2 linked regions of the Drosophila melanogaster genome follow. The protein of the gene in region 2 interacts with the protein of the main gene of each other region in a pairwise test. Each region holds a gene or a part of one and is shown on either strand. Other genes may lie near its edges.

Region 1 (7,284 bases), on a different chromosome or scaffold from region 2:
TGATAATTCGTTTATGGCCAAAAAGGGGACTTCCCCCGAGCTCTAGATATGCGTAAGATGGTGCTACTTACTCGCCAAATTCGGAGATTTTGGAGCCCAGCAAGGTGGCTATCTCCTTTCTGGTCATGTCGGCCAGCGTATTGACGCCCAGCCGGAATCCGGACACGCCGTTGTCGGCGTTCTTATTGCTCAGCGTGATCAGCGACATCTTGGCCGCGAAGATGCTCTCGCGATAGACTCGCTCCTCATCCGAGTACACCTTGCCCGTCTGCCGGAGGAAGTCGTCGAAGTTTTGCACATCGCAGAGCTTGGGAAACGACTGCAGTTGCTGCAATGACACAGCACCCAGCAGGGCCAGTCCCAGCGTCATCTGCAGCCACATCGTTGAGCACATCCGCATCTGGAACGGTGGACAGCAGAGCGAGTGGAAAGCGTTAGGTAACCACTTGGCCAATACATAGTTACACCATCCCATCCCATCTCATCGCATCCCGCGACCCCTTTTCATGCCCCTTTTCTTGCCACATCTATCTGTCAACGTTAATCACTTGGCCGCAACTCGACCCGTTCATTCACCTCCAATCGAACCAACCTGCCGTGCAGATCGTGAAGTTTCCTATAAGTGGAGCCGCTATAAATATTTATTTATGGACATATTAAAAGCAACGTTGCTTCCTAGAAAATCTGCACAATTTGAAAACAGGCCACACTCAAAATCTATGCGTTTATTCGATATTAAAATGTTTATCCAGTAGATACTTTTTATTGGTAAATATTCAGTGGAGTGTCTTCATTGACATAAGAAATGATGTTATGTCTTTTTGAGTAATTTGAGTAAGTACAATGTTTGGCAAAACCAAAATAAAACAAAGAAACTAATAAATTGTTTGTTTAACAAGCTTGGTTTTGAAGAAACTAAACCGTTTAATGATCGCCTATGCAGAAATCAACATTGTTTCTAAGACAATCAAAAACATAATGATCGATTAAACGAATAAAAAACTAATTATTATTGGTTTTTTCTATCACGCTGACTATCCGCTTCTGTCAGCAATCGCGTTAATGGGTAATTAATCATGCGCTGTCTTAATTTCTCAACTTTATTCGATCTTACCAAATTAAATAGACTTTTGAAACTAGCAGAGCATTCGCTGTTCGTATTTCCGGTCTGTTTTACGAATTCGATCACCGATGAGACGTGAATAATTACTGGGTGAATGAGCTAATTTGCATATGCTTAGCATAATTACATTAGTGCAAGCATTCGATTCGGATGAATTTCGAAATGTATGAATGATTTCGCGGCTTCGTCTCTCCTTTTATTTCCTCAGCTCCCAAATTGGCTCCATCGAGGGCCCAAATAAATCAAAATCAAATCTAGATTAGGCAACCGCAGGCTAAGATTTCACTTTCGTTGCCATAAAATACTGATCACATGCTGTGCCCGGTGAAAGGCGATGGATTCCCCTGTTTAAAATCAAATTTCGAGTCGAATGTAAGCAATTGCAGTTCTCTTGTCTTCGACGGACCATTATGAATCGAAAAATAACAACACACACGACACAATATGTTGAAAAGATCGACTTAATCACCTTTTATGGATATCTGGGAATGATATGTTCAAAACACCTTCCGCGTTCACAAATCACAAAACTATTCGAAGATGCTGAAGACTCGAAGACCGGCGAGATTATAAGCGGCGCTCGACCCGCACACCTTGGTTTTATAGAGTCTGGAGCTGGACCGTGGGACATATGGCCAAAACTGGATGGGCCACCAATTTGAAACTTTTGGAATACCGACAAGAGCATATTCATCTTCATTTCGACGGGCTATCTGGTTTATGGGTCTATAGCTGTCTCCATTATATGCATGCTTAGTAATTGTCGATTGCCTAATGTGTTGGTGGCTATAACAACGCATATTAACTCATTTGAAACAAAAGAGAAAATAGTCAAACATGTTTTTAAATAGTTAATAATTGATGAGATCGAAGTCACAGTTGTAGCGCCTATAGGATTACAAATTTCAATGCAGCAAGCAAAGTTTTAGGAAAGTTTTTAAAGCGTCTCTAAGTAGTTTGTACTATTATATCCCTTGTAAATAAATAACACTTTGATTTTTATGTAAATAATACAATTACAGAATGATAAAGATGCAGACGGATGAATAATGGTCTCGACTTTCAATAACTATAAATTGAAATTGAACCATGAAGAGATTGATTAGTGGCCAATTTATTTGCATTTCAATTAACAGATTCGTGGAATCTGAATTTGTTGTTGCGTCTACTAAAAAGTTCATTGACTGCTGAAATCCCTTATGGACTTACCTACATATTTGCAAAATTTCAAGATGATCCCTCATTACTACTTCGAATATATACTACCTGTAGTATATGCTAGACTACCGCAATGGAAATTACCAAACAACTCACTTAGCACTTGGTTTACAGCAATTTGGCCAAGTCTTCCAACGGGCCTATCTATCTATCTGTCTATGTATCTTTCCATCTACGTATCTATCTATCAACGCTGTTGCAACTTTTATGGGCGCCACAAAGTATGACTGTGATTAATCATGCCTGCGCTGAAGACAAAACCTGAAGACTAAACGATAAGTTGGCATTAGAGGGGCGTTTACGATGCTCCATGGGCATATGGGCTTGGGTGTTTTTTTCTGAACTGGGCCAGTGGGGATTTCGAATTAACAGAGATACGAGAACCCACCGCCGAATCGCAACGATACGAAACGGGGCATTTGACAAGTTTATTGGGCAAACAAAGCGCACCCCGACTTTTCCTACCAACGTCGGCTTATCGAGGAGACCCAACCCGGAATATGAATACTACGGATAGTACGTTTGAGTGCTGCTGGCCAAGTGCGAATTCAAGGCCTCGTAGAAATCTACGAGTATTTGCACTTTTCTTGCGAAAGTAAGTCGCTTTGGTAAACTTCTATTTGCGTTTGCAATCAGAAGGAGAGTTTGCCGGTGCCTATAAAAGATCGTTCCATGGTTCTGGCGGCATTAGTTGGTGCGGATTTGGGTTTTCGTCATGTTCAAGTTGCTACTTTGCTGCCTTCTACTAACCATCGACAGTGGATGGGCCTTTAATCATGGCCAGGATCTAGTGGACTTTCAAACTTACGAGGTATGTGAGTCATCAAGAAAACAAAGTCTGGATGGGATTTAATTAGAAATTATATCTTGTATCTTATGGCATTGAAAAGGATTGTATTGAGTAATGGAATTCAAATCTTTCCATTTACAGGACAATTTCAACAAGACCTATGCCTCAACTTCGGCTCGCAACTTCGCCAACTACTACTTCATCTACAACCGCAACCAGGTGGCGCAGCACAATGCCCAGGCCGATAGGAATCGCACCACCTACCGCGAGGCAGTGAATCAGTTCTCGGACATCCGGCTCATCCAGTTCGCAGCCCTGCTGCCCAAAGCCGTGAATACGGTGACCTCGGCGGCCAGTGATCCACCGGCCAGTCAAGCGGCATCTGCCAGCTTTGACATTATCACGGATTTCGGACTCACCGTGGCGGTGGAGGATCAGGGCGTGAACTGCAGCAGTAGTTGGGCCTATGCCACCGCCAAGGCCGTGGAGATCATGAATGCCGTGCAGACAGCCAATCCTCTGCCCTCGTCCTTGTCCGCCCAGCAGCTGCTGGACTGTGCGGGCATGGGCACCGGATGCAGCACCCAGACGCCCCTGGCTGCCCTCAACTATCTCACCCAGCTGACAGATGCGTATCTCTATCCGGAGGTGGACTATCCGAATAACAATAGCCTGAAAACGCCGGGTATGTGCCAGCCCCCATCCTCTGTGTCAGTGGGCGTGAAGTTGGCCGGCTATTCCACGGTGGCCGACAACGATGATGCCGCCGTAATGCGTTACGTATCGAATGGATTCCCCGTCATAGTCGAGTACAATCCGGCTACCTTTGGATTCATGCAGTACTCCAGTGGCGTCTATGTCCAGGAGACGCGTGCCCTGACCAATCCAAAGAGCTCACAGTTCCTGGTGGTCGTGGGCTACGATCACGACGTGGACTCCAATCTGGACTACTGGCGCTGCCTGAACTCCTTCGGCGACACGTGGGGCGAGGAGGGTTACATCAGGATCGTGCGCAGGTCCAATCAGCCCATTGCCAAGAATGCCGTCTTTCCCAGTGCGCTTGCCTAAGAAGGATTCCGATTTGACCTTATTTCAAGTTAATAAACTTAAGTTTTATGTGTAAATTTTTATATGATGATTTTGTTTCGGATTCAGTAGATGCTGTAAGTTCTTTAAAAAAACTTAATGCTAGTAAGCAATACTATTATTATTATTATAGACGCATTATCTTTAAATCAACTAGAATTCGAGTAACAGATTCGGGAATATCTATAATAACACTATGATGATACCTTAAGAGTGTGCCTATCTATATCTATGATAGTTCATAGAATAGAAGAATAGTAATAGAACCATCCAAGAAATAGATTTGGGAATATCTCAAATAAAGCTAAGATAATTCATCGAGATCTTGAATATTACATAAAGAGTAATCTTGAAAAAAAATCCCCCGTCTTCTACCAAAAAGTATCGTTTGGTTTTTTGTTGTGAAAGCTTACAGCTTTTTTGTCTCCATTTATTGAATTTACCATTTTATTTAGTTTATTTATTGATTTTTCATCTACAAGCGGAGCTTTACAGACTTAAATGCTAAAAATTAACAAGTTCACTTTATTTTCTTTTCTTTTCTTGTTTTTCGCATCTTTGATCTGCTTATGGATTTTATACTATTATCTTTGCAGTGTTTTCTTTTTCTGTTATGTTTCTCTTGCATAATAAATAAGTTTCCCATTTTGTTGCTATCCGTGTTGCTGTGATATAAAAACGAAAGGAAATTATATAGATATATATAATATTTAGGTATTATATTTATGGTTATAGAATATTCGACTCAGCCAGCGCAGACAAAAGCTTCTTTTTTTTGGTGTGTGTTCTTTCTGTAGATTTCTTAATCTTAGTTCTCGTAAATTTTTTAAGTTTCAGTAACTTGTTTGGAAACGTTGTTATTATAAATACTTCTCGTTATTATATTTCAATTGCGTTAAATAATTTGAAATATATGTATGTACGTTGTGTTTGCATTTTGTTTTGTTTTAGTTTAGGTTTTTAGTTTTTAGTTTTTATTTTTGGTTTAGAATGTCTTCCCGTCTTCTTGTGAAGCAAAGCTCAATGATATGATTCACGCTGAAAGGTGATTTAACGATTTTTATTATTTCAATAATTTTGCAGTTTATAAAGATTGCGTGATCTTGTGTTTTATTAGGTTTTTCTTTGTTTTTTGTTTTTTGTTCTGGATGTGCTTGAGTTGCAATATTTAGGGTACTTCCTTGGAAAATCGTTGCGGATGAAGAACAAAATCGAAATTATCCATCGTAATCGGTTTAGTTGTGGAACCTTAAGTACTGTGACTAGTTAATGGGGTATTGATTTTAAATTTCCTTCTTTTTCGCCATTTAATTACTCTCTTATTTTTTCACTATTACGATACCAACGGCTAGTGTTTGTTATTATTTTATAAATTAAAATTAGTTAGGTTTATCTACATATGCTCTCGCTTCTCTCTGTATTTATCTTATTATCTTTCCGTATAATTCTTAATAATATTTAACTAAATAAATATAATGTTATATAATTTATGCAATTTCTCATGTATATATATATCTTTGTTTTTTGCTTTTGTTTTCTACACAAAATGATGTGTTTGTAACTGGTTTTTATATGTTGGCTAGTGTTTCTGTTTATTAATATCTTGCAATGTTTTGTGTTGACTGTACCTCGGTTTGTGTTCGAATCGCATTGGGGACACAAATCAAAATGTTTATGGACTTTCCGTCTAAAGTATTAGGAAGATTTATGTATATCAGCCATGCTAGCAGCTCCACTTCCGCCGGAATTTCGCGGAAATCCGTTGAAAATGTATCATAGGGATCTCATGGCTATATAGTATGGTTTAGTTTTCGTGAAGCCTACAATGGACAAACTTTATTATTTCCTTCTCGTATTTAGTATTTGATGGATTCTCCTTTGGTTTCATTTATTTACTCTGTATAAATTTCAATGCTATTCTCTTAATTTTCTCACTACGAAAATTGATTTTCTGCTTCCAAATGAGTTATGAATACCAAATTATTGCAACTTCTTTGCCGTAAAGATTGGTGTTCATCCTTAGAACTTGCACTAATCGGTTTCATAAAGGGTTTGCCTTTGAGGATGCCCTTCCTCATTTATTTTATTGAATTGCAAAAAACAGATCTCAAATTTTGAGACTAGTTCACAGAACAAAAGCTTATAAATCAAATGAAACTATGGATTACCTTCCAAAAAGGTTGTAGATAAAATCCCAACATATAATATGACACCAAATAATAAAATAATCCTGGTTACTGCAAAGTATTTATCGCAAATAGATAGATGTTCGTCTTTAAAATTTGCACTTACAGGTTTCTTGAAGGGCAAGCCTTTAAAGATTCACCCAGTTATAAACTAAAATGGAAATACTTTAAAAAAAAACCAAAGAGGAGAACGCAGTTTTTAGTAAGAAACCCTTTTTCGCTTGATCTCGTGGAAAAAGGCATTCCTACATCGCTGATTTTGAATTATTTTGGGTTACGACTTATGTTGTAGATCAAGGATCTGCATTTCTTACTAAGGACTTTTTTTTAGGGTCGACGGTTGAATTTTTTTTTTTAGGCGGAGACATTTACTGGCAGTTTTTCTGTATTTTAAAATTAATTTCGAACAAAGGCTTAAAAAAGGTTATTATTTTATTACTGCCCCCAAGAGAGTGTGTGTTACCTTTTTCGATTTTATCCTGTTTGATTTATATAATGCATGCGAACGCATAAGGTAAGTTAATTTCCGTATTATTCTTATTCAATTTACGCTTACGAACACATTAAATGATATATTAAAGTAAATTATGCAACTAAATGAGCATCAACTGCAGAACTGAATCGAAAAACCATTGAAAACAAACTCAAAAACGATAAGTACAGTTGAACGCAATGAAACGCTAATTCGAGCCCAATTTACGAGCTCTGGAATCGTATTGTGTGCCTCGAGTTCAGCAGGAGCGCCAATCCGGCGGCCACAATGAGGGGCAGCATCATCCACTGGCCAGCAGGCGAGTTGGCCCCGTTGCACAGATCCTTGGTGCAGGAGCAGTAGATGGCGGCCACGTCGTGGGTTCCCGAGCGTCTCACGCACTTGTTGT
Region 2 (7,764 bases):
CTTCCTTTTAACCACTTTTTCGCCAATGATTGTGGCCGTTAAAGCGAATACGTTTAAAATACACGAGTTAATTCAAGATCCGGAAATCAGACAAAAATCATACCTCTATGACCCTTATGTTCAAGATGTCAAAAAGCTTTTGGGTAAATATGAGGAAATGGGATACTTTAACGATCTTTGATCTATTTTTAAAGCTATCAGTTAAAATGTGTATATATTGCATGGCTAATTGATCGCAACTATATGAACCATGTAATTTTTTAGGGTTTCCTTTTGCTTTAAATTAAATAACAAAACGTATCATCAAATTAAATTTTTCTTTTTTTTTAATTTGGGTGTAAAATACTCATGGAATATTTGTCTGGAAAGCTTACTGTATGTGGAAGCCCGAATACTTTTGATCGAATGTAACGCAATCTTCATTAGCCCTTTGTCACTATTCATCCAAGAATCCAGATAGCTCGAATTCTTTAATAGTTCGCTGAAGGAAAGCCCGATACTTGGGGTTTTCAACATTTTCCCGGCGGAAACGATCACCGCTCTCAGTGCGTGAGTTCAGATCCTCAAGGTTTTCGAAACCAGCTCCCTCCCTGAAGATCAGTGGAGTCAGGCAAGTGGCGCCAATGACACCTATAATGGTGGAGTCATTATGAAAACCAATATAGATAAATGGTGATGATGATCATACCCATAAGACTGGTCTTGATCAACTCGATGTGGATTTCTTTAAGAGTTGGAATGTGTCCCTGGTAGTTTAGCTTCTCCAGGGTCTGCTGAAGCACTCTCTGGTATTCCCTCACAATGTACTTATAGTGGACCTTACGAACATTCTCGTTCAAGGATCCGTAGAGGAAGTAATTGAGATCAATGGTTGGGGATCCCACATAGGCCAACTGAAAGTCCAACTAGTGAACGAAGAGATAAATTAACGTGGATTTCGAATGGATTCTCGTCTATGAATGACATACTGTGACCACATCGTCTGGCTCCTTGGTCTCGTTGTTGATGTGGAACAAGAGATTGTTGATCCACAGATCGGTGAGGTTGAAGACCCGGAAATCCTTGCCTGTGCTCTCAAACATGGTCAGCGCTCTTTGCAGGACATTCTCGGCCAGGTTGAACATCTTCTCGGTGATCTCCTCGTAGCCCTTCCAGTGAGCCACTTCCTCGGCCACGCAGCGAATGTTGACGGGGAAGAAGGTGAGGAAGTCACGACGGTCCGGATTCCTCGAAATGGGCGCCTCGTCGAAGAACTCCAGCACCTCGGGGCTATCCTGGGCGATAAGGGCGCTGCAAGCGTGCAGCTTGGCGACCTTCTCGATGGTGGGCAGTACGTAGTCCAGATTCAGCAGTCGACCGCGTTCGAAGTTCTCGAAGCCGGACAGCTGCATGTCCTCCAGAATCAGGAATGGCTCCGGCGATTCCGTGGTGTAGTAGCACGTAGGTGCAATTTTCGTTTGATCTCCAATGGATTGGAGCAAGGCTTGAATACGTGGAAGCACCTCCTTGTAAGCCAGAATCTCACGCTTGAAGAGCTTACTCCTGTGGGCCACAGCACCTGTTTGTCCCTTGGGATGATCCTTCACAATCACTGAAAACTTGCCTTTGGGTGCAGTGCCCCTCTGAAGATTGAAACTGGCCCGATGCATTTCGCTGGCAAATCCCGCCGCCTGGTCGCCCACTTGGGCGCTCTTTACTATCAACTCGGTGACTGCCAGCTGCTCTTCCTTGAAGTGTTCCTTCAGCACATCCTGCAGGAATTCGGCGGTGAGCCATTCCGGAGCCTGGTAGTTCTTGCTGCCGGTTCCCATTGTATTTTCTTCTTTTTTTCTCAAGTCACCTGACCGCACCGAATAAAAATAACAGAGAGCTGAGTAGCAACTTACGCTGGGGGCTATCGAATCAAGAATGTGGGGCAAAACATGTGACGGGCTGGGAGAAAGATAGAGCTTCTGTAAAGCTCTCTCTGTTGTTAGCTTTGCGCTGGCTTATCAGCTGATTTATGTATATATAATATTATTTATATGTACATGTGGAATCTATGGCGGCAATGAAACCGGTTTATTGAGCAGTGTGGAACTTGTGCCCGATAACAACAAATAAAAGTGGAAAAACAGAGATACATATATATTTAACGTACTTGTTAGTGATGTTTTACTGTTTTCCTTGGGGAACAAATAAAATGTGATCTGAATACAGGCAACTGTTGTGATAAGCTTTAATGACTTGGCATTTATCTAATGTATTTATTCTATAGGTATATATTCTATATTCTATAGATTTATACATATTCTATGCCAGTTAGAGGATTTTCTTCAGAACTTCAGAAATGCATTAGCACATTTTCTACAAGTTATCAACTTCAGAAAATTATTTCAATAAACAAATAGATTTGTTTATCTGCTGAAACTATGCTGTTTACTATATTTGTTTTGATAGTTGAAAACATATTAAATTATGATGTAAAAGAAGTTACAGTCCAAACGGGATAAAGTATGTAAAATATATATATATATCGATCTACTTGTATACATTTTTAGTCTTTAATACAAATTCATATACTTAATTTCGGTTTTAACAGTAATGACTTGAACCGCTTCAAAAGTCTAGAATACCACGCCGAAGTAGAAAGGGGAATATGCTGAGCGCAGAGCGGACGTAGAGTGGATTTGTGTACACCTTGGACCGGAAGCGATCTCCTTCCTCTCCCGGCTGCGTAAGCTTCACCAAGCTAGCTTCCGTATCCGGTGGCAGCAAAATGAACACAAGGTGCGTGAAGGTGGTAAAGTAGCCTGATAAAAGAGTTTTGTATCATTTATATATAGTGATCGTCTAGTTAAATTCTTACCCCAAAATCCATACTTGATCATGCTCATATGCAGCTCCCTTAGCATTGGTATTCGTTCGCTGTATTTTAGGATCTTTAGGCAGCGCACTAGGTGTGTGTGGTATATCCTGATGAAGTAGTCAAAGTATTGTATTCGTATACTATGCCGTGCCGAACATATGATGAGTTCCCAAAGATCCTGAGCCGGACTACCCCACTTGCACAGTTGGAAGTCCACGAAACGCACCTGGTTGATATCACCAGTTTGAGTATAGCTTAGCATTATGTTGCTGGACCAAAAATCACCGTGATTTAGAACTTTAAACTCCTGCGGATTGTTGTTAAAGCAGCTGGCGTAGGATTGCACAAATTGATCGGCCGTGGGCTTGAATACATCATCAAATCGATGTTATTGAATGTTAAGATATTTATTAGATTGTTTAACTTACAATGCGACTCACATACTGTTCGTGATCGGCCAGACCCCAACTGGCTATTGCAGTTTTATAGCTCTGGAGCCTCGCCTGATACGATTTCGATTTCTGATAGTTGGCGGGTAGGTAAATCCTCTGAAAATCATCGGGAAACGGTCCTTTTCGCTGACGCCAAACGGCACCTGCTGCATGGAATTCCGCCAGCTTTTCTAGCACTCGATGCATGTGGGCCATGTCGAAGCCCTTGAGGCGATTTATATTTCGGTACTTTTTCGTTTGCAAATCCTCCTGAACCAGGCAGATCCTTCCTTTGATATCCTCCGCATGGTGGCACTTTGGTGCAAACTTTACACTCAGCCCAGCTTCTTCGTAAAGCTGTTCCAAATTAGGTATAATCGTTTCGTACATCATCTTCTCCTTTGGAAAAATGTTGAGGGTATTCACGAATCCACCATTTCCCTGGGCGTCGTCCAGCATGGTCTTTACTATGTAGGACTTTTGCTGTGAGAATCCATCTATCGAACGATCGATAAATCGAATAGTTGTTATATTGTTTGATATAAATAGTATTATATATAGAAAGCACTCAAGTTGATTTGAATCAAATTTGTTTTAATTACTAAATAGGAATTAATTTTTGTAATTTGGCTATGGTTTTTCTGATTTAAAAAAATATAAGGTAATAGCTATTGTTTATTGCTTTTTTAAAATGGCAACAGTGCGTATGCGTAATGGCTCTTAACGATTGTGTACCGAACTGCGCCCTTTTTTCTCACCTTTCAACTCGATGTCGATGACGATGCGCATCAGCAGCGATGTATAGGTTTCTCCGGGCGGCGTGGCTGGAATGATCGAGAGGTTGAGGATGCGCCGGAACTCCCGAAACTCCCGCTTGAGCAGTCGCTTGAAGTAGGCCTCATTGATCCAGGCCGGAATGCGGACATCGCTGGAGGCGCTAAATTTATTGCTGTTATCGGGCATGGCGCTGGGATTCCGCCGGAGTGAGCTCACTGCGGCGATTGGCTCTAAACGGATTGGCTGTGAATTGGCGTTGTGCCCGGTCCGAAGTGTGCAGCGCAACTGTTTTGCGTTGCCTTGCCTTATCGAGAGTGTTTTTCTTATTTCAGACCCGCGATGTTATTTTTATTTCATTGCACGCACAACAACAACAACCATCCGTCGAGGTGGGTGACTTGAGGTGCGCACTTATCAACGCCCCAAAAGCAATGCCAACTGCCCGTCTAACTGGTTCGTCAACAGTACGGACACTGAGCATCGTCCGTCGGGCACGTTGGCCAAAAGACTCTCTCTGAAGGCAGTGGGTGATAATTGCCAGAGCTTTCCCATTCTCCCAGTAGCCAGACACTGGGTGCACTGGGCGCCGGGCTTATCAACGGTAGCAGTGTGGTGATGGGAATACCTGATAACCTGACATACGTACATATGTTGGTGCACCCATGAGTACGTATTTATGTTAATTTGAACTTAAACAATTTGGGAATTGAGTGTGGGGTAAAACTGCCAAAAGTATTGTATTTTTGGAAAAATTTTTTGATTTTGGCTTTGAAAGCTGTAAGCAAATAATTTTTAATATTATTAATAATTTTTTTGATGTTACTGTGAAAAATTAATTATTATCCCTTCAAGACTAGATTATTTTACTAGACTATCGCTTAATAGCTTTTATCAGCATTTTGATGTAGATACGGTGAGTACGTGATAAGTAGACAAACATTTTTGTTATCTCAAGAGTAAAATATGCACATATATACATATGTATATACTAAAACAAGTAATGCAATGCGTTAATTGTTGAAAGATAACATTTTTTGGAATCATATTTCTATTTACAGGCGTACTAGTTGGAAAACTATTTCATGGTCCCCGACCTTCGATTACGTTGCGGCCCCGACATTCGCCGTGGAAAACTTGAAAAATCCAGAATCAATATTCGCACACAATTTGCTTAATAGGTTCGAATGAAAGCTTCACTGGCAGATGCATAAATTGGCGATCACTAGTAGTCTTCGAAGTTGAAGAGTCCGCGGTTGCAGCAAATGGGATACAGCTCCTTGACGACTTCCACAAAGATGGGATTGGTGTACACCTTGGTACGGAAACTTTTGCCCACCTCGTCTTCTAAATTAAACGTGTGCAGGTTATTTTCCTTGCAAACTGGCAGCAAATCCCCCGGCAAATGATTCATTACGGCAAAGAATGCTGAAAATATAGAATTTCAGTATAAGATACGACAAAAAATATGTATATTCGTTCGTTACCAGAGAAAGTGTTGTTTTTCTTGTAGATAGCAGATTGCAGTTCCCTCAGTTGCGGAAGCGGCTTCTTGTACTTCAAGACTCTCAAGAAGTCGATGAGATATTCCCAGTAGATTCTTACAATATTATCGAATTCTTTATAGCTCGAATCCTTTCGCGCCGAAAGGATTATCAGCATAAGCAGATCCTGTGTCGGACTGGCCCATTTGCAAATTTGAAAGTCCAGTATAAGTGCCTCACTTGGGGCTCCATTTTCATTGTACTTAAAAAGAATGTTGGAGGGAGAAAAGTCCCCATGTGTTAGGACATTAAAGTCCTGGGGATCTACATTGAGGGACTCCAAACAGAGCTTGCCGTACTGCTCAGTAGTGGGCTGTAATTAAAGTTATTATTAATGTGCTATTCATGATTTCACTAGGAAACTTACGAAATTCTTAAGGTAGCACTCATCTATTCCCCACGTTTTCATGGCTGCCTTGTATTCAGGAGCTTTTACTTCGAATCTTCTCACACTATGCTCGATTTTGTCCTTTCTGGCGAATCCATTATCAAAGTCAGCGTGATATGGTCCATACCTTTCTTTGTATATCACACTGGCGGCATGCAGCTCGGCCAATTTACGAAGAGAGAGTCGCATGTGCTCCATATTCACTCCTTTCGTTCGATCTGCTGCCACGAAATTTCGAGTCGAAAGATCCTCAAATATGAAATATATATTTCCATCAATCTCCCCAATTTCCAGGCATTTCGGCATCAGCTGCACGGGATGTCCCGCCACACGATAGATTTTCTCAAACTGCGGCAAATAGGTGGAGTACATCTGCTGCTCCTTGTGGAAGTACCTCATTTCATTCACCGCCTTGCCACCTTTATCAGATTCCAGCATAGTCTTGACCACATACGACTTTCTTTTCTGAGATCCATCTGGGCAAAATTGGATTTACCACTCGGTTCTTATAAATAGGATCTCTATCAGCCAGCCTACCTTTCATTACTATATCCAAGTAAACTCGCAGCATGACTGATGCAAAATTACCACCTGGGGGCACAGCGGCCACAGTTGTAAACTGGTCTATCTTGGTGAAATCAGGTTCATCCTTTGCGATCAAGGACTCAAACTTTGACTTATTCAACCATTTGGGAACAACGAGACTTTCGTTGGGATTTTCGATATTCATGGAGCGCGACATGATTACAACTGATTTAAATCCGAAACGACATTATGTTCAACTTATCACAAAAAGTTATCGTCTCCGGAGATAATTTTTTATCTGAGGTAACAGACGATTACCTCGATGACCAGCAATATTATACTGATAAGGTGCACACTTATGCGATACCCCCAGATAAACGAGATTTCGTTGTACTTCCTATTATTTTATTGCCGGGCAATAAATCAGACATCGTAGTCCTCAAAGTTCAGTATTCCACGGTTATACAAGAAGGGGTACAGATCCTTCATAACGTTTCCAAAGGCGGGATTTGAGAGCAAACGTAGTCTATAATTTTCTCCTTCCTCCGTATTAGCGGATAAGTTGTGTATGTTGCTGTCCTTGTCGGTGGGGAAGAGAATAATGGGCAGGTGGTTCAGGATGCTGAAGAAAGCTGCAGAAGAATTGCATTTGCATGTTAAAGAAATCTATAGCGAAAATTATCGCATTAGAAACCTACCATAAAAGGAGTGGTTCTTATTGTTCATGGAGTTTTGAAGATCACGAAGTTTTGGCAGGGGCTTTTTCAGCTTCAAAACCTTCAAGCACTCGACCAGACGTTCCCAGTATATCCTTACAAAATGGTCGAACTCCTTGATGCGCAAATCGTTGGTGGGGGAGAGGGTGAGAAAGAAAAGCAGGTCCATGGCCGGACTACCCCACATGACAATCTGGAAGTCGATTAGTATCAGCTTCTCGAGAGTTCCGTCCGGCAGATAGCTGCTCATCAGATTGCTCGACCAAAAGTCGCCGTGGTTAAGCACATGAAATTCATCGGGATTTAATTCCAAAGTACTAAGACATTGCGCCCAATATTGCTTAACAGTGGGCTAAAAGAAATATATTGTTGTTAGTTTCAGCAGACCATGGAATTTCAATTATCTTAAACTTACAAATGCCTTAATATATTTATCGGCGTCTTTCAAACCCCACGAGAGCATTGCCTTCTTGTAGGCCTTCTCCTTCAGCTGGAACCCATCGACGTGGAATTTTTTCACATCCTTCTTAACGAATCC

The links. Proteins that work in one complex are often made in the same cells at the same time.
Region 1: the proteins of CG31102 (region 2) and CG6337 interact in a two-hybrid assay, tested with the Drosophila melanogaster proteins (one large-scale study listed by BioGRID).

Annotation. Positions count from the first base shown.
Region 1 is NT_033778.4:13,830,835-13,838,118, reverse strand, and holds CG6337 (uncharacterized protein), read left to right. Parts: upstream 1-3,022; 5' UTR 3,023-3,056; coding exon 3,057-3,152; intron 3,153-3,272; coding exon 3,273-4,199; 3' UTR 4,200-4,544; downstream 4,545-7,284. Other genes in the region: CtsL2 (cathepsin L2), read right to left, coding at 72-400; CG6329 (uncharacterized protein), read right to left, coding at 7,100-7,284.
Region 2 is NT_033777.3:25,291,060-25,298,823, forward strand, and holds CG31102 (uncharacterized protein), read right to left. Parts: upstream 4,536-7,764; 5' UTR 4,243-4,535; coding exon 4,038-4,242; intron 3,777-4,037; coding exon 3,277-3,776; intron 3,213-3,276; coding exon 2,849-3,212; intron 2,793-2,848; coding exon 2,599-2,792; 3' UTR 2,399-2,598; downstream 1-2,398. Other genes in the region: CG11893 (uncharacterized protein), read left to right, coding at 1-181; CG31098 (uncharacterized protein), read right to left, coding at 437-630, 689-905, 969-1,811; CG31097 (uncharacterized protein), read right to left, coding at 5,279-5,481, 5,541-5,910, 5,965-6,461, 6,523-6,715; CG31288 (uncharacterized protein), read right to left, coding at 6,934-7,142, 7,209-7,578, 7,642-7,764.